4 linked regions of the Diceros bicornis minor genome follow. The protein of the gene in region 2 interacts with the protein of the main gene of each other region in a pairwise test. Links are inferred from orthologs where the notes say so. Each region holds a gene or a part of one and is shown on either strand. Other genes may lie near its edges.

Region 1 (7,125 bases), on a different chromosome or scaffold from region 2:
CAAAAAGGTGGTGGGGGTGTGGGAGGGAACATCCATCCTTACAGAAGAATGGCAACTAAAATATGTAGCAAAACTTAAGTAGAAAAGTCATTACATTTGCAACCCCACTGTAAGAACGAATTTAGACAAAGTTGCTAAAAACATTGGATGAAAGCTTGTTGGAAAGAGGATACTTATTTATACCATCTCAAAATATCAGCCCACAGATGAGTACTAATTACAAAGCGGGCAACATCCTTTACAATGGAGCACTATGATTGGCAACACTTTGACCACACTGAGCATCACTAGGAGTGGAACAACCCGCCATTACAGGCCCCCTGATGTATGCAATGAGAGGTATACAGCATCAGCTTTGTGGTATTTTGCCATAAAGAGTGTAACCTGAAGCTAATCAGAAGACAGACTACTCCAGAATGCAAGGCATTCCACGAGACAACTGGCTTGAGCTTTTTAAAATAATCAATCTTGGTTTGGGAAAGTTCAAATATGGCTCGTATATCATACCATCGAATTACTGTTCCTTTACTTGGGTGCAAGTTTGGTATTGTGGTCCTTATTCTTGGGAGATGCAAGCTAAAGTACTTAGGGATGAGGGGTCATGATATCTGCAACTGACATGCAAAGGGTTCAGAAAAATTTGTACACATATATCTATCTATATGTAGAGAGAGACAGTAAGGCAAAATGTTACAATTGGCAATCTAGGTAAAGGGTTCATGGATGTTGAATGTACTGTTTTTTCAAATTTCTGTACTTTGGGACATTTTCAAAATAAAAACATGGGAAAATAATTTAATATAATAACAACTTAGATCTCCTCCTATTCAGAATTTAAATTTGAAAAGAAAAGGAGGGAAACTGAAGTGATCTTAAGGAAATGTAACAGATCTCAGGCTTGAAGGAAAAAGATTTTGTGTCTATCACATATATTGAGTATAAGTCTAATCAATACCAGTCCTAGATAATTACAATAATTTACTTTTATTAAGCAAGTAAACTTTATTATTTCAGCACCTGAAATTAAAAGAAAAATAGGTAAAAAAAAAAAATTTAAGTTCTAACTCACCTAGAACAATACCTAATTATTCAGATAATTAAATGATCTAATGTTCGTAAAGAGCCTTCCAGGGAATCTGGCACAGAGGCTATGACTGACTGACTTACAGAGCTATGCCCATAGATTGGACACTGCCTGCACACAGCTGATACTCAAAAATATCTGTTGCCTGACTCACTCAACCCCTCATCCTCCCTCAAACCAAGCTCACACATTCTGCAGAGGTGATCACTAACAGTTCTGGATGTAGCATTTTCTCTACACCTACAATCAAATATATGCAAGGATACATATAAGTACAATGTATCTATACATGTATCACACATGTAACTATACATGGAATCCTGCTATAGTTTTGCAACTTGCTTTTTTTCCCCCTTTTATCCCTGATGCTTTATCTTGCCTCTAGTGGACCAGTTTTGAACGAACGAAGAAGAGGTGCTAACACAGGTTGCAGGTAAACACACTGCTCCTTCCATTCTAAATAGTCCAAGTACTGCTACTAAAATAATTACTCGGCAACTCTAATGGTAAATAAAACCTCTATGGCTATGTTTCTAAAGGCCTGAGGTTCCTGGTTACTCGAGGCCATGGTCTATGGACTTCAAGAACTGTCTAGGATAATTTAATAAGCATATTCTGGGTAATCTGGATGGCAACCATTATAAGCCAGTATGCCTGTGTGATTTCAGTGCTTCCATCTGCATTTACAACTACTATATAATTTTATAACTAAGTTAGCAGTACTAACTTCATTATATTTAAACAGGTAGGTTTGATATAAATGTTAGATTCTCCCATGTGAAGGCCAGATGATACCATGGCCAGTACAGATGAAGGTTCCACAGTATTTTAACAGAAAAAATAGGTAGTAAATAACCACAGGGCAACAGTAGTAGTGGCATTCCAAACTCCAGTCAGTATCATATTCATGCTGTGAGCATGTTTCCCATCGTCCCTAACATTACATTAATGTAGATTTGAATTTTACTGGATGTGTAACTTTACTTGGTTTTGTAACTTGTAAATATATTGTTTCATAGACAAATAACAGTTTCATAACTAGTTTTATGCTTATATATATTTAAATAACATTAATAATTTGAGTCAACAAAGGGTTTCTTATATTATTCAAGTTCGAGAAAAACTTGCAAAATGTCTGAAACTCGTGACTCCCGCTGGTTATACAAAGAAAAATATTCACCAAATACTTACTATGTGCAAGGGCTGTGCTAGCTGCTGTAATTCATGATGCCTGCACCTGTAATATTAGATACTTTATAAATACTTACACACCATCAGCGGGTGATGATTTACCATGACTGTTTCCCCTTCTTTAGTATGTTAACATTGTTTCTGATGTGGGTCTAACATAATTTCACTTGGGAGGCAGTAGCCACAATTCTTTATCTGATACAGTACTTGGCTTCTTTCTGACACTGGGGCCTCGAGTTACGAAGGGAGTGGGGAGAGCAATTTCATACACAGAAAACAGAATGAGTTCGTTACCTGAGTCTCTCAATCGAGCGAGTTCCTGCCGACGTTTCTTTCGTTTCTCCTTCTTCAGGGCGGCCCTGTACTTTTTGTGGCTGGAAAAACGAGACAGGCACACTCGAGCGTCAGTGGTCGCACCTGCAGCGGTGCCTCAGCTCCCCTCTCCTCCGCACCCACTGACAGGAAATCGCCCGGGTACTCAGGAGTAAAATCTCGCTTCCCGTGTTTTAATTACAGACCATGCATTTACCACCGCCTCGCCCTTCCACGCCCAGACAGACCGCAGGTCTTCACCATCCCGCCACCTGTTTCCCTGCTCGCCTCCCTGAGCCCACGGACGCCCGTGACAGTCTGGGGCGCACTCCTGGAAGGGCTCGAGCTGCTGCGGTAGCTCGCTTGCTTGGCCCAGCTCCTCTTTCCTTCCTGCCTGCACATCCTCCATGCCCAGCCTCGGCCCGCTCCGTCCCCTCTTCCCGCCAGCTCATCTCCCCCAACCCAGCTTACCTCGGTTTCCCCGGAAACATCATCTCCTCGGGCGCAGCCATCTTGCCAGCGCCGCCACGCCCCCCAGGAGCCAAACGGAAGAGGCGGGCTTAAGAGAGCGCGCGGTGGCGCGCACGCGCAGGTGCCGCGCGGCCTCTCGCCGGCGGGGAGCGTGCTTCTCTCCGGGCGGACCAAAGACGGAAGACGGGAGGTTCCTGTAGGTGGCTTGTCTTCCAAAACCCTGCACAAATAAATGTCTCCTTCCCGAAAACTCCTCTGGGGCTCCTGCCGCGCCCTGGAAGTGATTCTACCGTCCTAGCGTTTCCCCAGTGCTTTATCACTACCTCTCCCCACACCATAGGCGTCTTGTGGACAGGAGGTTCAAGTCACACTTCTCACTCTTTTCCCTTCATCCGCTCTCGAAGCCTCGTCCCACATACAGCCGCAACCCTGGGTTCCCAGTCGGACTTATCCAGGTTCCGCCTCCTTCCATTCACACCTGCCGGCTCTGTAGGCGAACCTAACTCCTAGGGTTGCAAAGGTGCAACCTCTGCTCCCAAGGAATTTACAATCTAGAGGCCGAGAAGGACCATTACATAGATTAGATAATATGGTACAGGCAACTACGTTTACTTAACATAGTCCACCTGGGGATTCAGGAAGAGCTTTCTGATGTCTGAGTTTGAGTTTTGAAGACAGATGGCGTTTACCCAGGTGGAGAAGGGTGGGAATTGAATTGCAGGTAAATCTGCATAAGCAAAGGCACTGAGAGGTGAAACTGGAATCTGCCAGAACCGCAAGAATTTGGCCATCGAATTTAAAAGGCAATTCGAAAGTATCAAGGAATATAGAGGTAGAGGTGGGCTGGGAATAGGGGGGCCTAGTATGTCATGCTAAGAAGCTTTAATTACGTTCTGTAGGCAACAGGGAACCATTGAAAGTTTTTACATTGAGGCTTGTTCTGGTTATATTTGTGGTTTAGGTAAATTATTCTGGTTTGCAATATAAAGGATAAAGCTGGAATATCACAATCTAGGTGAGAGGTGACAAGGAATTAAACTGAGGCATTGAGAGTAGGTACTGAGAAGGTAAAATCAGCCCTGCTAATAATTAGACTGCGATGTACATGCACAAGGCCAGGGACAGACCAAGAAAAAATGTTTCTCCCATGGACAAGTTGCATCTGCAAAATGATTAACCCCGGTCTTTTGAGTGACTGGATAACTTCCCTAGCCTAGCTTTGTTCCTCTCTCCTCCAAATCAAAATTACTGAGACACCCAATTACTAAACTGCCCCTGCTTCCCCTAGTCCCTCCTTGGAATCATTCAGCAGAAGCCCAAACACTGCATAAAGCCTTACCCTACTGCCTCTTATAAAGACACTTGCAGTAACACACCTCCAAGTTGACCTCGTCCCGCTCAGTGCATCAGTAATTAGGAACATAGACTTTGGAGGTGGATGGACTAGAAACTCAAGCCTTGACTCTCTGATCTTGAGTAAATTCCTCAATGTCTAATCCTCAGATTTCTCATCTGTAAAAATCAAGATAATAATAATAGTTATTATCTTGTGTGCCTGGCAATAGTTAGTGTCCCCAAAACATTAGCTGTTAGAACATCATCATCATCATAGGTGTGAAAACTTCCTGACCCCCTGAAGTGTGGATTAGGTACCTGTCCTGCATGTGCTCCAGCACAAGTATCTCACCTTTTATAACACCTATCATACTATATTGTACTTTGTTGTCTACACAAATCTGCTTCTTGCACTAAATCTTAAAACTCCTTGAAGGTGGAGACTTGACACTTATAGCCCCTAACTAGAGAAAGCCTCAAGTAGCACAAAATGTAGCTGTGCAAATCACCAATTTTGCTAGTTCCTGTGACCAGGACTTATGCTGAGAATTACTGCTATTCTGAAAGCGTCAGTGTCTGGGTTGCTGTAACATTTCTTATGAATTAGACCAGACCTTCATATCAGAACAGTAAGTAAGAACATCTTCTGGGAAGATACTCCTAATTAAAAAAGGATACAGACTTAGATTTTATTATCATTTAGAAATGAATGTAAATCTCCTTTTATAGGAGTTAGGCATTTATCTTCAACAGTTAACCACTGAATTCAGTTTCATGAACAAGCTTGAGTTGCTCAAGTTAATTTCATTACAGAAGTTACTCTAAAAGCCAATTCCATTTCCAAACTAGAGTTACCATCATTTGAATTTGATAAATCACAAGATAAAAATAAGGTATGTAAAAATTTAATGCAAAGATACATTCTACTATGATATTCTGATAAATAGAACAAAGTTATCTTTATTCTGCAACATAACATATATTTTCTATTTTTCTTGGTGCTTGAAATACAACATCTACTTATTCTTAGGTATGTGTATTTCAGTTCATCCCCCCTCTATGGGAAAATGACTAAATTTTTTTTACATTGTCAGTAGAAAATAGCTGATTATCTTTAAAAAGTTAAAGAAAATATTTTACTTATATAAATGATGTAACAGATACTATCACTAAAGATGTCTAAATTGTTATAAAATGATCAAAGAATAATCCATAAATGTATTTTTCATTTATTGCAAGCATAAAGGGAGACCAAGAAAAAAAAATCTACTCTCTGAATGCCAGGTTGGGACTCTTTCAATTAATTTGTTTTTTTCTTGCTCAAGTGGGACAATGGTACTAGGATTCATTAAATAGTCGACGCAGAAATTCTCAGGAAAGAACATTTCATTTCTTGCCTACCATTAATTTCAGTATTAGTCACTAGATTTATTCAAGGACATAAAGTGAGGTCTCAAGTCCTTTCCAACCCTCATTGCTATGCCAAGGGCTTTATATATTTTCCAGATTATAACTTAAAATAGAAAGATAAAATACTTATGAATGCATATTAATGTGAAAAATGCATGCAAATCTATATTTGTACAACTGATTAAAAGTTTTCTTTGGAGGAAAGAACTATCCAGTGATAGTTCTTATTACTTGATTCTTTTGTCTAGTGATAAGCTCAAAGCAACACAACTGCTGGTGGTTTGAGAAGAAATGGTGGCAGAGTCCATATCCCCACCCAGAACCCAAACCAAAGTACCAATTTTAAAGAGTGGTTGAATTCAAAAAGCAGGAAACAAAATATACATAGGGACAAGTGTCATAGTCCTGCCATTACAATATACCATAGACTGGGTGGCTTATAAACAACAGCAATTTATTTCTCACAGTTCTAGAGGCTGAGAAGTCCAAGATCAAGATGCCGGCAGATTCGATGTCTGGTGAGTACCTCCTTACTGGTTCCTAGAAGGCTGTCTTCTCTCTGTGACCTCGTATGGGAGAAGGGGTGAGAGAGCTCTCCAGGGTCTCTTTTAAAGAGCACTAACCCCATCATGAGGGCTCCACCCTCATGACCTAATCACCTCCCAAAAGGCCCCACCTCCTAATACCATCACATTGGGGGTTAGGTTTCAACGTATGAATTGTGGAGGGACCAAACATTCAGTTCCTAATAACATGAATGCATTACTATTTACATGTTAAGTAGCCAGTATTGTTTATATGTACTAATTATATGGTAAAATTAGAGCTTATTTGCTTAAATGAACTATATCCATTTTTGATCAATAAAATTTTACATGAAAGAACTTAACCAACAAAGTTGGATTAAAAAGACAATAAAACATTAAGCAGAATAAACATCAAGTAAATGATGTTGATTCTTCTAGTGATGCAGAAAAATACCTAAAGTAATTACAATACTGTATTTTTGCTAATATCATGCCAAAAGAATTGTCCCCTAGTGAGCAAGGAAAAGACATCTTCCTAAACGTTTTTTGAGGCAGATGCCTGGTTTTAGAATAGCCACCTTTACCCTGACCCATGTAGCCCTGGCAAAGGAGAAAGGGGCTGGCAGCTTGCCCTATCGGTGATGTTAGCAGATCGATTGTGCACTGGTTTGACAGAAGGGAGAGCTAAGGAGGAGCGGGTGGTTCTTTCCATTCCTGTTTCTCTAATAAATCCCTTAGGAGTTTTTTAGTCACTTTCTGATCTACATGTTAAAGGATGTCTCATTAATTTTACAG
Region 2 (6,981 bases):
ATGGCCTAAAAGTAGGGATTTGAGTCCAGGCAGGCTGGATTCCACAGCCCATGCGATAAGCTGTGCCCCCTTCAGGATATCATCACTTTCGGGTATCCTGAGGACATTAGAGGTGAGGGTCTCCAGCCGGCGTCCATGCTTCCAGTCAAAGGCTGAGGCACTGGGTGGGAATATGTGACGGACAAGTGTGAGGGAGTGGGGGACATCAGCCAGTGATGGGTCTCTGACTCACTAGGGCCCCCAGCTGCCACCTGGGAAATCTATGACTCAGCTGTGGGGATGGGAGACTCCTGGAGTTCAGGTGGCTTCGTTCCGTTCTCAGCACAGGCCTGGCCTTACCACTGGGCTGTGTGGCCTTGGGCAAGGTGCGTCACTCTCTGAATTGTGCTGTGAAGGACAGCTGAGACGGGGTTATGCCCCGTGCCCAGCAGGAGCTCCCCCTGTTGTAATCACTCGGTAGTGTGGAGGCAGCTGTGGTGACGTACCCTGGGTTTTGCCACAGCCAGATTCCACGCAGAGGGTAGGAGTGCACAGCTGGTGCAGCTCCCCACCCAGCAACCATCCCCGCTTCTTCCAGGAAGGGCATCTCCATTTTCACTTGAACAGATGACTTGTGCTTCTGTAACTTGTAGCTGGGCTGATTCCAAGAGGAAGTCAGAAACTTACATCTATTGAGTGCCAGTAGTGTCCCAGGCACTGTACATGATGAAATCATTTAATCGTCAGGACAAGCCTGTAAAGCAGGCTTGTAGATGTGGAAACTGTAGCTCAGACTGATAGCCCAGCCCAGCCCATCTTTTGACCAGGAGTGAGCCTTTCAGTTTATAACTAAGAGTGACTTTTCTTGGAGGGGCATTTATTCATTCAATAAATATTTAATGAGAGCCGACCGTGTGCTAGGCATGGTGCTAGACCTTAGGGATAAGATCCCCACCGACAAGCCCCCACCCTCATGGCGTGCCCACTCCAGATGGCACAGAGGTTTCTCACAGGTCAAATCCAGGTGGCAGCAGCTGCCTGTCACATTATGAGGATTCTGAGCCAGCTCTGGGCTTGGCAGGGTGCTGTCAGGGAGTTTCTGCGTGTATGCTGCATGTTGGATACCCGTGTTTTAGACTTTTGAAGACTACTCATACAAATGCATATAACAAAGCAGAAATACATCCTGGTCAGAGCACAAGTTCCAATTTTTATTTTGAAAATAGCCACTGTAGATCTAATTAGTAGGCCCTGCCCTCAAGGAACTTAGGGTCTAATTGGTAGCCTAAGGTCCACAGGAACAGGACAGCCTGACCCAGAGCTCAGAGCTGGGGCAGGCCACACAGATGCGGATGATCAGGGAGGCTTCCTGGAAGAGGAGCTCAGTGGACTTGGCTAGGTGGAGTGGGGGCAGGGGGAAGGCATTTCAGGAGAAAGCAGCAGCACAGGCAAAGGTACGGAAGTGTGAAGTGGGTGTGAGGTGGAGGTGGGAGAAGAGAGGATTCTGGCCTGGCTGGGGTAAGGTGTTGGGGGAATGAAGGTGAAAAGGTAATAACAGGGGTGGACCACGGAGGCCTCAGTGTCAGGCCTGACCCTGCCCCTCCCCCTCCACCCCCTTTCACTTGGGAACCACGGAAGACTCCGAGCAAGGGCATACCCAATGAGATATTTCTTGGTGCCTGGAATAAGGGGAGAAGTTAGAAATGGGAGGTGGCTATAACACCATGGAATGAAAAAGGGCCCCTGCACGCAGGTGGGGGTTAGGGGACCTGGCTTCCAGTCCCTCGTCTATGCTGACGTGCTGTGTGGCCACAGGCAAGGCCCTTACCCTTCTGGGCTGGTCTCCTTCTCGGTCTTCTCTTAACGGCCCTTTCAGACCATGACTGAGTGAACTCAGGTGTGTGTGTGGGGGGTCACTTGGCTCAGTTAGGGTCTCCATTTTCTACTTTTCTTTGGCCTTGAAGACCTGGACTAAGGCGAGTCCACCTATGGTTTACCTCAAGCTTCAGGCTCCTGTGGCTCAGCCCTAGGCTGTGTCCACGCCTGAGCTTCCAGAAGCATTTGTCTCACAGAAGAGAAAACATGACCTTGGAGCCACTTTCTGGCTGTGTACTTTGAGATGGACTTGGCCTCTCTACTTACCTCACAGGCATGATACACACCATGGAGATAGTGCCTTTAAAGCTGCCGGGCACACAGGCAGCACCTCTGCGCTCAGCGGGCAGTAAGTGCTCAACTGGTGGCGACTGCCTTTCTTGCTGTTGCTCCTATCGGGGCTCCTGTGTGGGACTCTCGGCTGTAAACTTCTCAGAGGCTGGCAGTGTCTCCTCCATGGGGCTGAACACCAGCTGGGCCCCCAGGCAGGATCTGACACCCAAGGCTAGTGCACCTCTGCCCAGCTAGTCACGAGGACTGTGACGTGAGTCTGCCTGGCCTGGTGAGCAGCCCCACCCTGGGTGGGGGCCCTGCGTCATTCCTCATGGGACTGCCCAGCACATGGGTCCCAGGCCCTCCCCAGGCACCATGTGTGACAGGCACCTCTGTCCAACCAAACCCACCAGGACCTAAACTAAATTCCTCCCCCTTTTCTGTTTAATTTTATATGGTTCTTTTTGGGATAGGTAATACATTCAAATATTTCAAACTTTAAAAGGCACCAAAAAGTGTGCTATAAAAATAAACCCCCTCCCAACTCAGCACACAGCCCCCTTAGTTCCCCTTTCTGGAGACAACCAATCTAAATTCCTTTTTTTTTTTTTTTTTTTTAAAGATTTTATTTATTCATTTTTTTCCCCCCAAAGCCCCAGTAGATAGTTGTATGCCATAGGTTCACATCCTTCTAGTTGTTGTACGTGGGACTCGGCCTCGGGTTGGACAGAGAAGTAGTGCCTTGGGGCGTGCCCGGGATCCGAACCCGGGCCGACAGCATCAGAGCGCGCGCACTTAACCGCCAAGCCACGGAGCCGGCCCTAAATTCCTTTTTTTTTATGGTGAGGAAGATTGTCCCTGAGCTAACATCTGTGCCAATCTTCCTCCATTTTGCACATGGGACACTGCCACAGCATGGCTTGATGAAGCCGTGTGTATGTCCACGCCTAGGATCCAAACCCTGCGAACCCCAGGCTGCTGAAGCGGGGTGCACGAACTCAACCACTACGCCACAGGGCCAGCCCCCTAAATTCCTCTTTAAAACAATTAAACTTAATTTGCTGCTCCTCCCTTAAAAAAATCGTAAGTATTCAAAGCAAAAACTAACTTCAAAACAAAACAAAACAAAATCCCACCACCTTGGAATCTACACAAAAGTACAAACCAAAAATCACACCCACAATCCCACCACCATCCAGATTTTCTGCACTTTAGTATATTTCCTTCCAGACTGTTTTCAGTACTCATCCACTTTTCAAAAACGAAAACCAAACCCAAAATCAGAACCGCAATTCTGATTTTTCAATATCTTGCAGTATCTCAGGAACATTTCCTCATGGTGTGTTTCCTTAAGCGACTTTAACAGCTTGGTGAACTTCCATAGAAACTGGCTTATTGGGCCAGACCCTAGTGATGGGCATTTGGGATTTCCAGATTCCCCTATTATAAGCCACACAGCGATGGGCCCTCATTGCCTACTTGTTTATTTTCTTGTAACAAGTTCCTAGAAGCAGCAATACTGGGTCACAAGGTTTGGCCATTTTTTAAGACCCTGGATACCCATCAAACTCCCCTCACATTCAGCAGGACCAGGTGTCCAATCCAAATCCACTTTCCTCAAGGCCAAGTCTTGTTCACACCCCTCCCAGCAGCAGCTGTGTGTGCCCCCAACCCACCTCCACTTCTAGAGTAAGGCCAAAGTCCTCCTCCAGGCCTGGCCACCTGCCTTGTTTACCTGGCCCATCCCAGTCCCAGGTGAGTCAGCTGAGCAGGGTAGGCGCCACCCTTCCCAGAGCAGGAACTCAGCTGGGACAAGGGCCACCACTTTCCAGGGAGAGGAACAGACACTCTGGGCAGTGGCGGGAGAAGGACGTGCAGCAGCAGCTGGCCTGCAGGTAAGAGCTGGGCTGGGCCCGTCGTGGCTGGGACAGGGAGAAGCGAGACTTGCTCTTACCTGCCTCATTCCCACCCTGGCCCGCCCCTTCTGGGACTTCCAGGCAGTTTCTTCTCAAGGTGCTTCACTCTGGGAGGGAAGTATGACTGGGGTCTCCTCTTCTGACTCCAGCCCTGGGCCAGGAGTGAGGGCTGAGTGACCTTTATCCAAACATCACGAGGGCCCCGGCTCCTTCTGACTGCGTATGACAGTGCTCAAGGAGGTCGGACCCCCACTTTGCTCCTTGAAGTAGGCCTTGGAAGGCCAGGCAAAGAGCCAATCCTCAGCTTCTGTTACTCACTTCTTTGCCTGAAGCCATTTCTACCAACAACGTCCTACCATGGCAGGGAAAATCTGCTGGGGAACTGGGCCGGTGGCCTGACCTCTCTGAGAACTGGTTTCCTCATTTGGAGACTGGAAATATCCCCACGCAATCAGAACTGAATGAGATAATGACCTAAGACATCAATATGTGCCCTCCACACAGCAGTTTCAGAATATGGTGCTTAAAATGAGGCTGCTGTGTGCCAGGCCGGCACCACACTGGCTGCTTCCCACCCAGTGGCCCAAACTAGTAACAATTCTAACACCACCATGGCTTCTCACCTAGGCTCCCTGCGTCCACCCTTGCCCCTCTAGTCTGCTCTCCAAACATCAGCAGAGGGGGCCTGTTAAAATGGAAGTTGGACCACGCCACCCTGCTGCTCAAAATTCTCCAGTGGCTCACATCTCACTAGAGTAAATGCCAAGTCCTCACCATGCCCCAAAGCCCCTACAGGATCGGGCCCTCACACCACTTCTCCCACCTCCTCTCCGGCTACTCCCCTCTGAACACTGACTTAGTCTCACTGGTCACAACAGGCACTCCCACCACAGGGCGGCCACAGCGGCTAAGCCCCAGCCTGAATGCTCTTCCCTACCACTTTACTCAAAAGTCACTCTCCACCCACCTTCCCCGCCAACAGTGAGACTCTTCTGGACCTCCTGACAGTCTCTATCCCCCATCCTGCTCTATCTTTCTCCCCATCACTTCCCACCATCTAACACAGCATACCCACTTATTTATCTACCTAGAAAGTGACACTCCGCAAGGACAGATTTTTCTTTTGTTCACTGCCTTATTACTGGTACCTAGAACAGTACTGGGACTTGGACACTCAGTACATGTACTGAATAAATGAACAATAGCTAACGATTACTGCATGCCCTTTACGTGCTAGGTACTGTGCTGGGTGCTTTCCAAACACATCTGACCTCTTTTTAAGAATCTTTTAATCTCCACAGTAACTCTGTGATGCAAGTATTGTTACCCATATCACAAAGGAAGAAATGACACTCAAAAGGGACTTGTCCATGCTTGCTCTCCCGTCAGAGGCAGCAGTCTGAACGCGGTACTGCCTGCCTCCAACATCCTTGCTCCTGCCCTGGCCCTCCTGGGCCTGGACTGGGAGCCTCTGCATTCCTTGAAGTCCACAGCTCTTCTCCAGCAGGCAGTACAGCCCTGGGGGGAGGGGGTACATGCTGGTGGCCTAGCAGCAGCCTCTTCCTTCCCACCCCTCCATACCCCGGGGCTAATGTGGCCTTCTAGGAGCTACTCCTCTGACACTCTAACCCATGCCTCCCTCCTGCACAGTCTCCTGAAGGATGGATGAGGTGTCCACAGCAACAAGTGGGAGTCCCAGAGTTTCAGCTCTCTGGAACAAAGTGTTCTGAAGGAGTGTTCTTATTCCAAAGATGGGGGCTGCCAGCCCCTGCTGATCTCTGAGGACCCGACTGCTGCTTTGTTGTGGGTGTTGGTTGTTATTGCTTATAATACCAAAGAGTACAGAAGCTCAGGGATGGAAATTCTGCAAAGCACAGCGGGAGAGGAAAATGCCTCTGGGATAGATGGGTTAGATGGCTTCTTTTCCTTTCAGAGGAGCCAATTAATTGCCAGAAGCCAACAGCACTGAAATTGAGCAAACTCTTCCACTGTCAGATTGTAGGAGCCAACCTTTCAATCTACCTCATTGGGGCAGTGGTTTTTCTCTTTCTAGGCCCAGGGTTTTCCTTTAAAGGACTTTTTTGGGCTTTCCTCTGCCCTCTGTGTCTGCTTTTGCACTCCTTTAAGAAACAGGGGCCGGCCTCGTGGCTTAGCGGTTAAGTGCGTGTGCTCCATACTGGCGGCCCGGGTTTGGATCCGGGGCGCACACCGACGCACCGCTTGTCCGGCCATGCTGAGGCGGCGTCCCACATACAGCAACTAGAAGGATGTGCAACTATGACATACAACTGTCTACTGGGGCTTTGGGGAGAAAAAGAGGAAAAAAAGGAGGACTGGCAATAGATGTTAGCTCAGGGCTGATCTTCCTCACCAAAAAAAAAAGAAACAATAACGCCTGCTGTATGCCAGGCACTGGGTGCAGCACTGGGGATTCAGAAATGAGCCACATTCCTGACCAGAGAGGGAGACAGGCAAGAAATACAACACAGTGGAAATCCAACCCAGGAAATGCAGGGGGCCTTGATCACAGGAGGTGCTTAATAAACATTAGTGGAATGAAGGATCAACAGGTGAATATGAGATTCTGTGGTCTAGAAATGGGAGGCTTGCCTAACTGTGTGTGTGTGGATGTGGGGATTTGGGGGAAAGCTTAGAATTGAAGGAAGAGCAGTTCACCAGATGAACAAGGGGGAAGGAGAGGGCATTCAAGACAGAGGCATCTGCAAAAGCACGTAGGCGTGAACTAGCAGGGTGAGTTCTGGGATCAGCAGTGTGGAATGTATTAAATGCAGCGTGAGTGTGGAAGAGTGAGGAGGTGAGATTGGAGATGGTACCAGGAGTCGGAGATTTGAATGCCAAGTTGAAGTTTGAGATTTATCCTGAGGGCAAGAGCTGGGTATGGCTTCAAGAGCAGGGTAACTCCCAGACTTCTGGCTCA
Region 3 (7,055 bases), on a different chromosome or scaffold from region 2:
AACAGTTCTGAAATTATACTCCCTTGGAACACTACTGGTTCCACCAGCTAGACCAATTCTCCAGACACTAAAACAAAAATAAAACAGTATTTTCACTTTTCATAAAGTTAAAAAAATTTCGTTAATGGATATAATTTTTTAAATCTTAAGTTTTTTTTCTGTAATTTTAAAAACGTTGACACTCACTACTACTTGTCTGCTCTGAGTATATAAGCGGATGGCAAAATGATGGCACTTATGGAAAACCTAGGAAGCTGCAACTGACTTGAAAGTCACATAGCAATGATTTTATACTACATTTACTCATTCCACAGGTACTAAGTACCTATTACGCACCAGGTGCTGGGGTAAAATGAGGTAAACAAATAGACATAGCTCCTATCCTCAGGGAGCCTGGTCTAGCAAACAGTGAAGTTTGGTGAGTATTATTAAGGAGCACCTTCACACAGGAGAAGGTACATATGTAGTTATTTTTCTGCTGATAAAACTGTTTCTAGTTTGTTTGATGAAATTAAGCATATCAGTAATTCAAGGATGTTCTGCAAAGATCCCTAAGCCTTCCAGATACTCGGCCGACCAGTAAATTTAAGGATTACAGAACTAGAACATCTAAATCAAAACACTGAAGACAGATATCATCCACCTTGAGGTACAGAGTTATAAGCAGAGCCAAAGGACTCAATTCATCTCACAATGTGGCAAACGATGCCAGAAGGCAAAAAGTCAGATGTTTCTGTTATCTTCTCTCTTGCTTTTCCTAATGACTCCCCAAACTGATTTTTTCTACCTATTCCTCAAAAACGGGTATTCCCGACTAGTAGCTGAGAATTTGGTAGCAGATCCTAATGATGTATAGGTAGATTATCCAAGCGAGTTGTCACTTTAGGATCCCTTCCTTCCTTCCTATATGCTAAGATTCTGAAAGTGGATCAGGAGGAGAGCCTCATACCTTTGGGAAAAAGTTCTCTATTACTCCCATTAACCTGTTAAACATGGATCTCTTATCTTGCAAAATCAGCTCAAGATTTGCCTCCATGAGGAAGATAGTCTCAAACTACAGCAACTCACCTTCTAACTAGTAACGTAATTCCTTCTGTATTTACCACATGGACCCCCAAGTTCTACACCCAAGATTATTCAGCATTTTCTTGATCCTATTTTAGCATGTTAGCTGTAGTTTGTCATGTGACCAACTCAGACTGATACCTTCTGTGGCACTGAAGGTTTTAAAAATAATCACTATCGGGAAGAGAGCGATCACTCCAGATTCAAAAACTATGCCTTACATATTAGTCGGTCAAATCCTGCAGATGCTAAGGTGGATCCATTGGGGTGAAACTTGCAGCAGTACACTTCCCCTTCATGTCCTGAGAGAAGCATGATTGGGGCTTGAAGGGAGGAACATCTTGGAGGGCCCTACACAAAAGAGAGAGGTACAGGGTAGTCACTGCATACAGACCAAGGAGGCTGCACAATTGTGGAGGCGGGGGTGGGTGGAGGAAAAAGACAAGGGAAACAATGAGTGAACGAATTTCTTCTGATTTAGAGAATGACAGCTCTTCTCACATAACTTACACCTCCAATTTGATACTCTCCTGCTGAGGTTTCCAGGGTCTACCTGTTATACTAACACTCCTCCTTCCTCACTCTGCTCCTGTCCCATAGCCAACTTTTAATTGCTCAAACATGTTAAGCTCATTTCTGCCTCAGGATCTTTACACTTTTGTTGCCCCTGACAGGAATCCTCTTCCCCTAGATCTTCCTGTGTTTGGCTCCTTTCAAATGTTTCCTCTTCAGAAAGTCTTTCCTGGATCATTCAAACTCAAGCAGTGCCCCACTGCCCCTCTAGTCCATGAACCCTACTGTATTCCCTCACAGCACTTATTACTACCTGAAATTACCCTCCTTATGTATTTGTTTACATATTTTGTCTTTATTCCCTACTAGAAAAGAAGCTCTGTGAGTGCAGGGCCCCTGCCTGGGTCATTCAACACTGTTTTCCCAGTCTCTAGTTCAATTAAAGAATGAATGATTGAACTGAGCTTCCCAACAACCCTGCAAGGTACAGATTATTGGGGAAAGTAGTTTTGATTATGGTCTCAACATAAGCCTACTCTTGGGCAATTCACCGAAACCTGGGCTGATATTCTTACTTGTCAGTGGAAGAATAAGTACACTATCAATAATCCCCAAATCTCTTCAGTAATTTCCAGCTTACTCATTTATTAAGAAAAATACTACGTGCCAAGCACTGTTCTAGGCACTGGGAAAACAGCAGTGAACAAAATAAACAATGGAGTTTGTGTTCTAGTGGGAAGGAGGGAGGGACAGAGAGAACAACTAGAACCTACAGATGGTGGTACAACAGAAAAAGCAGCAATGTGGGTTAGTGAGTACTAGGTATTGCAATTTAAAATACGCTGGTAAGGACAGTCCTCACTGAAAGAGGGATATGTGAGCAAAAATTTGGAGATGTGTGTAAACCATGCACACATTTGGAAGAAGAGTATTCAAGTAGAGGGAGCAGCAAATGCAAAGGCTGTGAGGCAGGAGCACGGAAGCCAGTGTCACTGGAGCAGGGTGAGCAATGGAAAATTGGTAGATCAGAGACGTAAAGGCAAAGCCGGCAAAAGACTGTAAGGATTCTAGTTGTACTCGGAGTGAAGTGGAAAGCCACTGAAAGTTTTCAGCAGAGAGTAACATGATCTGCCAGTTTAGAAGAACTCCTCTGGCTGCTGGATTGAGAATAGACTGATTACATAATAGCAGAAACAGGAATACCAGTTAGGACTCTACAGCAATAATCAGATAACAACATAATAGTATATAATAATAATAATGAGATAATAATAGCTTAGACCACAAGTTAGTGATGGAGGCCACAGCAATTCTGTATATATTTTGAGGACAACACCAAACAGGATTTGCCGACCGGCTGGTTGAGGAGTTGAGAGAGGGGGGACACACATGTATTTCTTCATCCGAGCCTAACAGCACGGAAGGAAAGATGTGATCATTATCTCTAACCTACAAGAAATGCAGTTAAGCGCATGGATTCTGGGCTTAAAATCTGTTTCTATCACTTACTAGATAAGAGTTTGTTTTCCCAGCTACAAAATGGGATAATAATGGTTCCTAACTCTTAAGCTGTTACCAAGGTTAAAGGAGTTTTCACATATAAAGCACTTGGTACAAGGGCTCAATGAAGGTTAGCTATTATTCAGTTGTTAATACTAGTGCACAGAAATAAAGGGAAAAGCAACTTGCCCAAAGTCCCAAAGCGATCCAGTATCACTCATTTCCTTCTTTCCTTCCTTCCTCCATCCATTCTACAAACTTTTCTGAATGTTTACGCCGGATCCTGGAAGATTTAGGATGCTAACGCCGGTTTTGAGCTCAAGATCCTTAACTCTAATTCTAACGCCACCTCACAGGGCGGTCGAGACGCCGAAAACCGGCGTCAAACGGGGAAACGTGAGGAGCATCTGCAGGGTGTCGGCCGCTTTTACAACGTTTTCGGCTTTAACTCCAGATACCGAGTCTCCTTCCGCCCCCACAGCGCGGAGAAAGGGCCGCCGCGAGATCACCCGGCGCAACGCTCCGAGGAGAGAGAAGGATGAGCCGAGGGCGGAAGGCCGCCTGCCACTTCACTCACCGCTTGCAACAAAGCTCCGGGCGCCGCCTGCTGCTGCCCCGCTCCGGGGCCCGACCCCGCGGCTCCCAACAGCAACTCATGCCGCTGCCGCTTGACCGGGACCAGCGGCAACTCTGGACCCTTGCGCTTCTGCTGTTCTATCATGGCGGCAACCGCTCTCCTTAGCGCAGCCACTGACCGCGCCGACACCCTCAGGCACCGCGCGATTGGCTCCGACTTAGTCCTTCCCCTAGAACTTCCGGCTTGGAGGAACCAATCGACTTCCAATATTCCCCTCTGCACCGCCCCCTGGATAGTCTCCTGTTATTGGTTAGCTGTCTCTGATGTCACGAGAGTACGATTCCAGGATTGGTGGATGGAACTGCAGTCCCGCCTAGGCGCGCTGTGTCTTGTGGGTGGAACCGCGCTGACTGGGTTGCGGCGTTTCGCGCAATGCTGCGGCCGGGGGACCTGCAGCTGACGGAGAGTAAGTAGGAGGAATGTCGGGGTGGGTGGCTGCGGAATCTGGAGGCGGCGCCTCGGTGATATGGTCTGAGCCTGCCCATTCTCAGCTGAAGTTTTGATTGCGAGGGGCGGAGGCGGGCCCCAAGGTCCTGGCTCTGGGGGGTAGTAGCCTGGTTTCCTTTCTGTGCTGGAGCAGAGCCTTGGGGGTCGCTGCGGCTGCCTGGGCACCTCGACGCCGGACTCCTTCAGCAGGCGGCTACTGTGTCCAGTCCGGTGCCGGAGGCCCCCGGGGAGAAACGGCCTGGATCCTCTCTGAGTGAGGAGGCCGACTTGTTTCTGCCACTGATTCTGCAGCCTCTCCTAGGGCCTGCTCTGTGTCCCTGAGAGAGACAGGGACGGAGGAAAAGTCCGACTCTTGCTTCTCCAGAGCAGTCTTGTTGAGAAATTTGGACTTATACCTGTGAAATAGATCTTCTCCTTAATCGTCCAATTGATATTTATTTGGCAAAGCATTGAGGATATGTGATCCCTGACTTCAGCGGTTCGAGTCTGGTGGGGAAAACAGATGTTAAACAATGATCTCCCTGAGAAATGTGAAATAAGTGCCGTCTAGGAGAGGTGCCTGAGGTTATGAGGGCCTGAAATAAGCAGAAAGGCTTGTCTGAGGAGAAGATGCCTGAACTGATGCCTGAAGAAAGAATTCTAATTAGTTGGGTGAAGAGAGGAAGGCAGAATATTCCATATAGAACAGCATGTGCAGAGGCCCTGTGGCAAATGGGAGGAAAATGCCTCAAAGGCACAAAGAGGCCAGTGTGGCCAGTGCAAAGAGAATGAAGGGAAGTATGGTCCAAGATGAAGCTGGAGGCCGGTAGAGGGCAGACCTTGCAGGACTTTGTAGCTTTTATTTGAAGACTGATGGGAAACCACTGAGGGTAGTTTTTTGAGGGGGAGGGAGTGTGTGGAGGAGGTAACTTAATCCCTCAGGCTCAGTAGTGTGAACAGATCTGAAGAGAGATAGATGCAGATAGACCCTTTAAGTGAGCGTTGTTGGCGGTGTAGACTGAAGTATTGGTGAAACTGCAGAGAATTGGACAGATTCTAGAGATATATGGGAGGTAGGGTCAGTAGGACTTGGCGATGGCTTGGATTCAGGGAGTGAAAAGAGAGGAATCACAGATAACTCTTAGGTTTTTGGCTTATGCAACAGAGTATTTATTTCATTGGTAGAGAAGGGAGAGGTCATTCATGACTTCAGGAGGCAATTTGAAATATGGCTTTGCAACTCAGAAGAGAGATTTTTGTTGGAGATATATATTTGGGAGTAATTTGCATATAGGTGATAATTGAGCGATAGGTGTGGGTAAGATCCCCTAAGTCAGAAGCTTGAGTAGTTCCAGCATTTAATGTCCAAGAACAGGAGGATGAACCTACAGGAGAAGAAGAGAAAAAAGAGCTAGAGAGGAGCACCAGAGGAATGTTGTCTCAGAAACAAGGAAATGGCCAGTGTCAGAAACTGGAATTTAAAAAACACGAGAATTGAAGAATGTGTGTTGGCTGTATCATCGTGGAGCTCATGGTATCCTTAGCGAGAGTTATTTTGTTGGTGTGATGGGGCCAGAAGCCAAAGATTCAGGCAAGGGATCGGAGGCAGTGAATCTAAAGAGTGTTTTTCATACATATGATTGTAAATGAGAGGAGAGGATGTGGAAGCCGAAGGAGATGAGGGGTCACCAGGAATCCACTTGAGAGGGCGATGGAGAAATTGAATACACAAGAGACAAATTCGGTCATTGATAGTGTTCTGAGAACATGGGAATGGATGGGATGCAAAGTACAGTTAGAGGGAGCAGCCTTGGGAAGATGGACAGTCCTCCATTTAACAGAAAGGAAGAAGGAAGTGAAGGCAGTAGATATAGGTTGTTCTTATGTTTGGTTTTGGTAAAATGAGTTCCTTTCTCATGGTTTTTATTTTCTCTGTAAAGTAGGAGATAGGATCATATACTTAGAGTGAGAGGAAGTCAGAGATTTGAGAAGGTTGCAGAAGATTTGAAAATCATTGTAGAGTGTGTGGGAGAATGGGTTTACCAGAGAGATGTAGAATTGTCGTGCAGAGTTATGGGCCCATATGAAGTTGGGGATCATATTTTATTTCCAGCAACATCAGGCTCAATGCAGACATGGAGAAAACATATGCAGATATGGCAAGGACCGTGGGTTTGGCTTGCTCAACACACATTCCCACCTTTAATGTGCCTTCTCTTACAGAAAAGTCTGGGGTGCTAAAAACTATTTCCTGGCTCCTTTGCACCTAAGATGAGAATTGAATTTGGAACTGAGTTAAATGTGGAGAGAAGGAGTGTGAGAGGCATCCAGTTTTGCTGGCAAATATTATGGTAGAGGCAGTGAGTTTCTTTAGTCAGCAGCTTTCTGGTTTAGTGACTTTCTGCAATGATAGCCATAACTTTCTTGATTGTGACAAAGACTGTGTTATTTTTTGGGTTAGGAGTTGTTCCTGGAAGTTCTACCAGAACTTCCTATAGCCCTTCCAGTAGTTTTGTAAGCCGATACCTGGCAATAAATCCTTTTCTGCTTAACCTAGCTAGAATGGGTCCTGGTGTCTGCAGCTGGTGGGGGTACTGCCAGATAGGTGAGCCGTAATGACAGAGAGTTAGGGGGAACTCAGGGTGTTGTTTGAATGATAGACTGTGGAATCTAAGCTGGAAAGAGAGAAAAGTTGAGGTAAAAGGAGAGGGCTGATGGATTAGAAGAAAATAGAAGTCAATAGATCAGGGTTCTAATGAGGTCAAAGAACAGTATTCTCTGCCAGAGGACTTCCATTTATCCTTAAAGGCCCACTCAGTTGTTACCTTTTAAACTTCCCTGCTTCCCCTAGGCCCTTCTTTTCCTCTTGTTTTCTTAGTACTTTGAACCTAGCTGCTGTTTTAGCACTGATCAT
Region 4 (7,269 bases), on a different chromosome or scaffold from region 2:
ACCCACAAAATGCCATGATGAATCCATATGAGCATTATACCTAAAAATAAAAGAGCATAACATAATACTTGTCCTTTTTGATGATTATCTCAAAATGTTTCTGATGGAGCCCCATTTTCCTTTAATACACTGTCTGGATCGATCACTCAAGAAATTGTCTTGATATTTTCCATATCTATATTTTCTAATGGCACTCGCATTGTACTTTTACAGCGCTGTCATACCTATTATCTCAATTTTTGCTGGGTTTAAACAGTTTATCTATGTCTGGCCATCTAGCTTAATGGCACAATTTAATATTATTATACTTTGAAGCATTATTTTGAATTGAAAGAAAGTTAACATAACTATAACACTGGTCTAAGTTTAAGGGAATTTCAATAAGGACAAAAAAATCACTTTTGTCCTTTTTCTTAAGCAGCACATTTTCATTAGCAGACAAGTTTTATGAGGGCACAGACCATGACATTGTGTCCCCGAAAGTGCCTATACCATGTAGGTGCTCAAAATGCTTAAGTCATGAAACCAACAGTGACAGCAGGTCAACTTCGGACGCAGCTGTGTGAGGCAAAGATCACCAGGGCTGATCTGGCAATCTACTGTGCAGACTGGCCTTTCCCTGCTGGCCGTTTCCATGTTGATATTCTCCAGGCTTCAGCCACAGACCTTCCCTTCACCCTCTACACACTCTACCTGAGCAAAGGCATCCACTCCCATGGACTTAACTCCTATTATATGTGTGGATGACACCAAATTGTTCTTTGACTCGGGCTTCTTTCCTAAGCTACAAATTTTATCCCTTATTGTCTATTAGATATTTCCATTAGTATGTCTGACTATACCTCAACACAAGGCGCAAACTGAAATCATCATCATGCCGAAACCTGCTCTTTCTCAGGTGTTGCCTATGTTAGTAAATAGCCCCACCTAATTGCCTAACAATGAAACCCAGGTAATACCTCATTCCTCTAGTACTCACCTACATTGACTACATCACCACCGATTCCTAGTGATTCTACCACCAAAAATATATCTCCAGTCTATCTGCTTCTTTCTTCCTAAGACTGTACCTGAGGTATCATTGTAACTTACCAGAATTACTCCTAACTGGTGACTGTGCATCCAAACTAGCTCCCCTCCAACCTACTGTGCAGCCAGAATGATCTTTCCAAAATGTGAATCTGTTTAAAAACCTTAAATGACTTCCCCTGGTCCTTAGGAAAATGACCAAACTCTTTGTTATGGCTTACAAGGTCCATTAAGAGCTGGAAACTACCATGTAAATGACACTATAACAGGGCAAAATGGATAAGCACGTGGGGTCTAGAGGAGCCAGACTGATCTGTTACTTACTAGCTGTATCAATAGGCAAGTTACTTGATTTCTCTGAGGCTCAGTATCCTCACTGTAAGATGGAAATATTAATATCTATCTCACAGTGTGGGTGTGCATATTAAACTAGATGAAATACAATGCATGACACAGTATCTGACAGATCTGACACATAGTAAATGTTTAGTAAATATTAGCTACTGTTATCATCTCTCTAGTTAATGTCTCACTTCTCTCCCATTTGTACTCTGAGTTCCATGCATAGGAACATCTTCATTTCCTCTTCTCACACATTTCTTCTTCCTTTATGTATCTAGTCCCTCTGGCTGCAACTTCCCCTCCTACCACTCCACCCCTCCTGCATTCTTCAAGTCTCATCCTAAATGCCACATCCTTTGGAAAGTCCTTCTGTGCACTCCCTGTCTCCTGTTAGATGCTCTTACTATGTGCTCCTGAAAGCTTTGTATTTTCCCTACCATACACTTGTCTGACTTTCTAGTACTTTCTCCTTACAGCCAAATTGTAAATTCTCTGTGAAGAGCAAGTGTCTTGCTCACCACTGTATTCCCAATGCCTAGCACACAGTAGGCACTTAACACAGATTGTTATGTGTATGAATGAGTGTGTCTTTCCTCTCTCACAATTCCCCCCCACCCCCGTGCTCCTCCCCAAACTGCAGTTGGTAGAAAAGCACAACCCTCCCATAACAGCTATCTGTAAAATACGGTTCAGAAAAGGCTGCCACAGAACAAACATGCTCAAATAATACCGGGAAGGGCAGGTTAAAACAAGATTGGGGGGGCAGTAAATGAGGGGGGTGTATATTTCTCAAACTATCTCCTGCAACCAGTGTTCTGCAGAACACATCGCGGCAAAGCTGGTTTAAGGAGATGCCCTCCCCTTCTAGAACTTCCAAGTAAGCCGGTTGCTGTGGACGGGAAATCTCTCAGGCACTTATTTCGCAGGGTTCACTGTTTTTAAGTCAGTACCGACTGGACCCAGAATCTGAGAGCTGGAAGGAACCAGAGACATAAATCAACAAATCTCCGTTTACAGATGCAGACACTGAGGCCAAGAAGGGCAAAGCGACCGGCCCACGGCCACACAGCAACTGAATGCAACAAGCAGAGAGAGAAGAACCCCAGGCGCCCATCTCGTCCCTGCGACTTGCACTACAAACAATGCCTCTGGCCGCTGGGGTCGGTCTTTCTCAGCCACCGGCCCCTGGGCCTACGGTTACCGTCCCCCTCTCCTCCCCATGCCACCCTCCCTCCGCCACGACGCACCGGCCCCGTAAGCCATCCAGCGCAACTGGAGCTTGGCTGGCGCAGGGGAGATCGTTTCTTTCTTTCCTTCCGCGTTTATTTCCGGAGTGTAAACTTTTTCACGTAAACCACACGAACCTGTTAATTTTAACGCCTCCGCTTAAATCCCCATGGGCGCCACTCCCTGGTCCAGCGCGCCCCAACCTACCCTGCCCTCTCCCTTCCTCGCCCAGACCCCGGGGCCTGCCGTTGCTCGTCACCTGGGACTGCCATGGCGCTGTGAAAGGGGTCGCAGGAGCCCTAGGATTTCGAGAGCGCGCTCGCTTCCCGCCGGCCGTGAGGACAACGCACAGCTAGGGCGGCCTCTTCCTCCCACCCGCGCCGCGGCTCCTAGATGACAGTTCGGGGGGGGGCCCCTATAATTCTCTGGCGATAGCGGAACCAAGTAACCACTGATCCAGCTTCCGGGGGACGCATATTGCAGCTCACTCACGGTCCGAACCATTACTGCCAGCTTCGGGAGGTGAATGAGACCTGCACACGCATGTAGTGAAGTAAACAACACCAAGACTTAACGGATCGTTCTTTTTAAAATTGTAATAGAAATTAAATTAATCTACAGCGGCTTAATAATCTTTTCTCCTTTCTTGGAGGCTATCAGAATCCCCCTTCTCAGGGTTAGCGGTGCTCGGGTCCGGGAACAACATGGCGGCGCCCGTGAGGAGCTAGCTTAGGGAAAAGATAGCGTTTGGCGTCGCTGTCTTGCAGGATATTGACAGACTGGAGCTTTCCGCGACCACCCGACTTAAGGAAGCCTGTACTAATAGGTGGACAGCTTTAGTGATCGGCCGTCCGCTCTCATCCCCAATTGAGAGCAGAGTCTTGAGGACTGACCAGCATGAGCAACATCTACATCCAGGAGCCTCCCACCAACGGGAAGGTGAGAGCCTCGTCTGGGATACCTGGGCTCCCCAAAGTGATACCTCACTGACGAAGGGAGTCCTGGGATCTTAGGGTTGTGAGAGATCACAAGAAGTCTTGTTTTTACCCCTGCCTCTGAACAGGATTGCCTGGAAACCATCTATTGGCACTTCTCAGCATATACTTGAAAAAGTCCTCAAGGGAAGATTGATTTCTCCATCTACCAGCCTTCTGGCCCTATTTCTTGCTTTAACCTAACTCATGCAGGTGTTTTCTAGAGTCTTAGGTAAAAACCTAAGTACAAATTAAAATTTGACATTTTTCGCATAACTTAGAGATGGCTCTTTCTCCGTTTATTGAACGCCAGCTAGGCACCGGGCACTTATTAGGTTCTGGGGATACAAATATAGATGGATAAGGTCTAGTTGTTGCCCTAGAAGAGCTTATGGTTTAGTTGGGAGGCAGGCAGGTAAAGAAAAGCCTTAGGATATGTCTGGTAGGTGTGCTTATGGAGAGAGGAGCACATTGCTGTGCTATTACGGAGAAGTGAGCAGCTGGGAAAGTAGGGAAAACTTCATGGAGGAGGTATCTTTTGAGCTGGTCTTAAAACATGAGATGATTGTTAGAGAAAATGGGGAATGGGAAATGTTCCCACATTAGAATGATTTCCTGATTGATTTGACAGTCAAGCTATGTCAATTCCCATCCCAGGTGTTTTATATGCAGTATGAGGCAGAGAACTAAGTAGTGGAAGGAATATCACCTGAATTCTTTTTTTTTTTTTTTTTGTGAGGAAGATCAGCCCTGAGCTAACATCCATGCCAATCCTCTGCTTTTTGCTGAGGAAGACTGGCCCTGAGCTAACATCCGTGCCCATCTTCCTCCACTTTATGTGGGATGCCTTCGCAGCATGGCCTGACAAGCGGCGCGCGCCCGGATCCAAACTCCGGCTGCCAGCAGCAGAGCTCACGCACTTAACTGCTAAGCCATGGGGCCGGCCCTGGCCTTTTCTATCTACTTTCTATGAAATAGCAAACCTCATTCATCTCCTGCATCCCAGCATTCCCTGGCTCCCTAAACCCTTTTAGTTTTTTTCTGCAGTACTTATTATTGATTGTTTATTGTCTCCTCCACCTGCCCCCATAAAATGCAAGTACTGTGAGGGCAGAGACCAGCATCTAGAAGGGTGCTTGATACATAGTAGAAGGAGTTCAGATATGTACTGGATGAATGGATGAATGGATGAATTAATACTATGTTTCTCTTAACTTTTGAGAAGTATTAAACATCAGTGACTTTGGGGTTATACTGCTGCTGGTCAAGGGCAGACTTAGTTGCTTTACTCTGGAGGAAGATTTGAGGTGGTCATAAAGATAAAAAGCTTTAACAAAGATACATGCCTGAACAGGAGATCTTTCATTCAACAAGTATTTATTGAGCGCCTAGCTCATGTGGATCTATGCTAGGTTTTAGGGATACAATGGAAAGAAAAACCAGCATTGTCTCTATTATCATGGAGTCAGTTGAGTGAAGTATACATTGACCGAATAATCATGCAAATAAGTCTGTGCAAACTGTGATCAATACAGTCTTTCTTCTAAACAGAATTGGGCTGAAGGAGAACATAGGCCAAATTTTCCTTCAAGCACAGTTTGGGACTTTTTTCCAGCTGAGGGGTGATTGAAGACATTGAAGCTTCAAAGTTCTGTACTATAGAGAGTATGGCAAGAATTTTGGCCTGGAATGAATTTAATACAGATATAATAAGCTTGCTCAATGAATGTTAGTTTAGTACCTGTGGTGTCTAATGCTACGTTAGGTACTGAAAGGATACAGAGATATTCAGAATAAATGGGACAAAATTCCTCCCTTCAAAGAGTATAGTGTCAACTTGGGAAGTAATTGACGTATTATACCAGTGGTTGACCCCTGGCAATTGTCCATAAATGTGCTGTGTTTTGCTGTAATGCTATAACTCTGGCCTCTGAAGATGAGGCACAGAAATATACCACTTGATAGAAATTTCCTTATCCACTGGAGATGAAATCTCCACATATTATGATCATTTAATCTAAATTATATATTAACATGTGTTTATTCTTAAGAAGCATTTTATTATCAAAGTATTGTCTTATTTGGGAGCTCTAAGAAAAGGAGCCACCGACGCCTGACAAAGTAGTGATGGTGAAAGGAGGGAGCTGTGTGCCTTCTTTTTTAATTCAGTAGCTTCTTGGTGGAAAGATTAAGAAACCCTGGTAAACAAGGTGGCCCAACCATGTATGCATTCTTTTTACTGGATGTAAGTTTGCTGTGGCCAAAAACATTGTATGAGAATAATAATTACAACAATACTAGCTACCATTTTTTGAGCATTTCCTATTTGTCAGGTACTGTTCTAAGTGGTCTACATATATATAATAACTCATTTTGGCCTTGCAACAAACCTATGAGAATATGCTTATGCCTGTTTTTAGATAAGGAAGTTGAGTCACAGAAATGTTAGATATCACACCCAAGGTAACGAAGCTAATCTTACCTTCGTAAGTGGAATGGTCAGTATTTGATTTTGGGCAGCCTGACTCCAGAATCTGAAGAGGGAGGGCTGATGTGCAGTAGATTGTTCTTTAGGACAGTGGTTTCTAAATGAGTGAGTGCACACTTAAGAGGGCTGCAAAACCATCCATGGAGTGCAGGCAGAAAATCTACTTACTTCTGTTTGTATTTATTTTCTCCTTTATTTGTTTAAGTGCAATATTTTATACGTAAAAAGGAACATATAAATTCAGTTACTTCTGTTTGTATTTATTTTCTCCTTTATTTGTTTAAATGCAATATTTTATACGTAAAAAGGAACATATAAATTCAGTTACTCGTTCAATCACTTTTTATATATCATGAAGTATTTTTTCCTAATTCTTTGCTAAGTGGATTTACATTTCTTGGTATCTAGATTAACTAAACCAGCCCTCACAAGTTTCGTATTGAAGATAATAATGTAAATAAAAGCAAACCATAAGAAAATGGTAGAGCTAATGCCTCAGCATGAGAAGTCTGTCAAAAATTAGAAATTGTTATGTAAATCTTTTGAAATATGGATTTCTATTTATTATTGTTAATGGTGAACATTGTCTTAAATGTATATTGTGCTTTAACATATTTATCAGTAAGAATATAAAGCCATTGTGATTTTCAAGACATTTAGAAACTAAGTGTATAGAACAGGAAGATGGACCACTACAATTTGAAAGCAACATTATGCTAAGTGAAAGAAGCCAGCCACAAAAGGCTACACGTTGTATGATTTCATTTTTATGAAATGTTCAGTGGGCAAATCCATAGAGACAGAAAGTAGATTAGTGGTTGCCAGGGAATAAGAGTAGGAGGAAATAGGGAGTGGCTGCCAATAGGTACAGGGTTTCTTTTTGGGATGATGAAATGTTCTGGAATTAGATGGTGGTGGTGGTTACATAACTCTCTGGATTATATTAAAAACCACTTTAAAAGGGTAAATTGTTTGGTATGTGAATTATATCTCAATAAAGCTGTTATAAAAAAAGTTCATTGTACTGTTAGTAAAGAAAATAGAATTATTTTAAAATAGTGTTTTTATGTAATCCTTTAAAATTTTTATTTTGTGTGATCTTTTATAATATAATATTAAAGTAATATAGTACCACGTGTATTTAAATATACATATTTTGGGAATGTGTGCTCTAAGTCCTTACCTCCCTTCTCTTCTTTGTTAATAGGG

What was found.
Region 1: the proteins of SDCBP2 (region 2) and ZRSR2 interact in binary tests that used the Homo sapiens proteins (3 or more experiments, as listed by UniProt). The two-hybrid records come from large-scale screens. The link is inferred for Diceros bicornis minor from reciprocal best matches to the Homo sapiens genes SDCBP2 and ZRSR2.
Region 3: the proteins of SDCBP2 (region 2) and ZCCHC17 interact in binary tests that used the Homo sapiens proteins (3 or more experiments, as listed by UniProt). The two-hybrid records come from large-scale screens. The link is inferred for Diceros bicornis minor from reciprocal best matches to the Homo sapiens genes SDCBP2 and ZCCHC17.
Region 4: the proteins of SDCBP2 (region 2) and SREK1IP1 interact in binary tests that used the Homo sapiens proteins (3 or more experiments, as listed by UniProt). The two-hybrid records come from large-scale screens. The link is inferred for Diceros bicornis minor from reciprocal best matches to the Homo sapiens genes SDCBP2 and SREK1IP1.

What each region holds. Positions count from the first base shown.
Region 1 is NC_080781.1:12,970,319-12,977,443, reverse strand, and holds the start of ZRSR2 (U2 small nuclear ribonucleoprotein auxiliary factor 35 kDa subunit-related protein 2), read right to left. Parts: upstream 3,012-7,125; 5' UTR 2,997-3,011; coding exon 2,794-2,996; intron 2,650-2,793; coding exon 2,570-2,649; intron 1-2,569. UniProt on the Homo sapiens protein: Pre-mRNA-binding protein required for splicing of both U2- and U12-type introns. Selectively interacts with the 3'-splice site of U2- and U12-type pre-mRNAs and promotes different steps in U2 and U12 intron splicing.
Region 2 is NC_080758.1:29,372,488-29,379,468, reverse strand, and holds the start of SDCBP2 (syntenin-2), read left to right. Parts: upstream 1-3,964; 5' UTR 3,965-4,022; intron 4,023-6,981.
Region 3 is NC_080752.1:46,266,065-46,273,119, forward strand, and holds the start of ZCCHC17 (zinc finger CCHC domain-containing protein 17), read left to right. Parts: upstream 1-4,052; 5' UTR 4,053-4,121; intron 4,122-7,055. Other genes in the region: SNRNP40 (U5 small nuclear ribonucleoprotein 40 kDa protein), read right to left, coding at 1,287-1,416, 3,656-3,799.
Region 4 is NC_080759.1:12,124,480-12,131,748, reverse strand, and holds the start of SREK1IP1 (protein SREK1IP1), read right to left. Parts: upstream 3,018-7,269; 5' UTR 2,871-3,017; coding exon 2,858-2,870; intron 1-2,857. Other genes in the region: spliceosome-associated protein CWC27 homolog, read left to right, coding at 3,496-3,537. UniProt on the Homo sapiens protein: Possible splicing regulator involved in the control of cellular survival.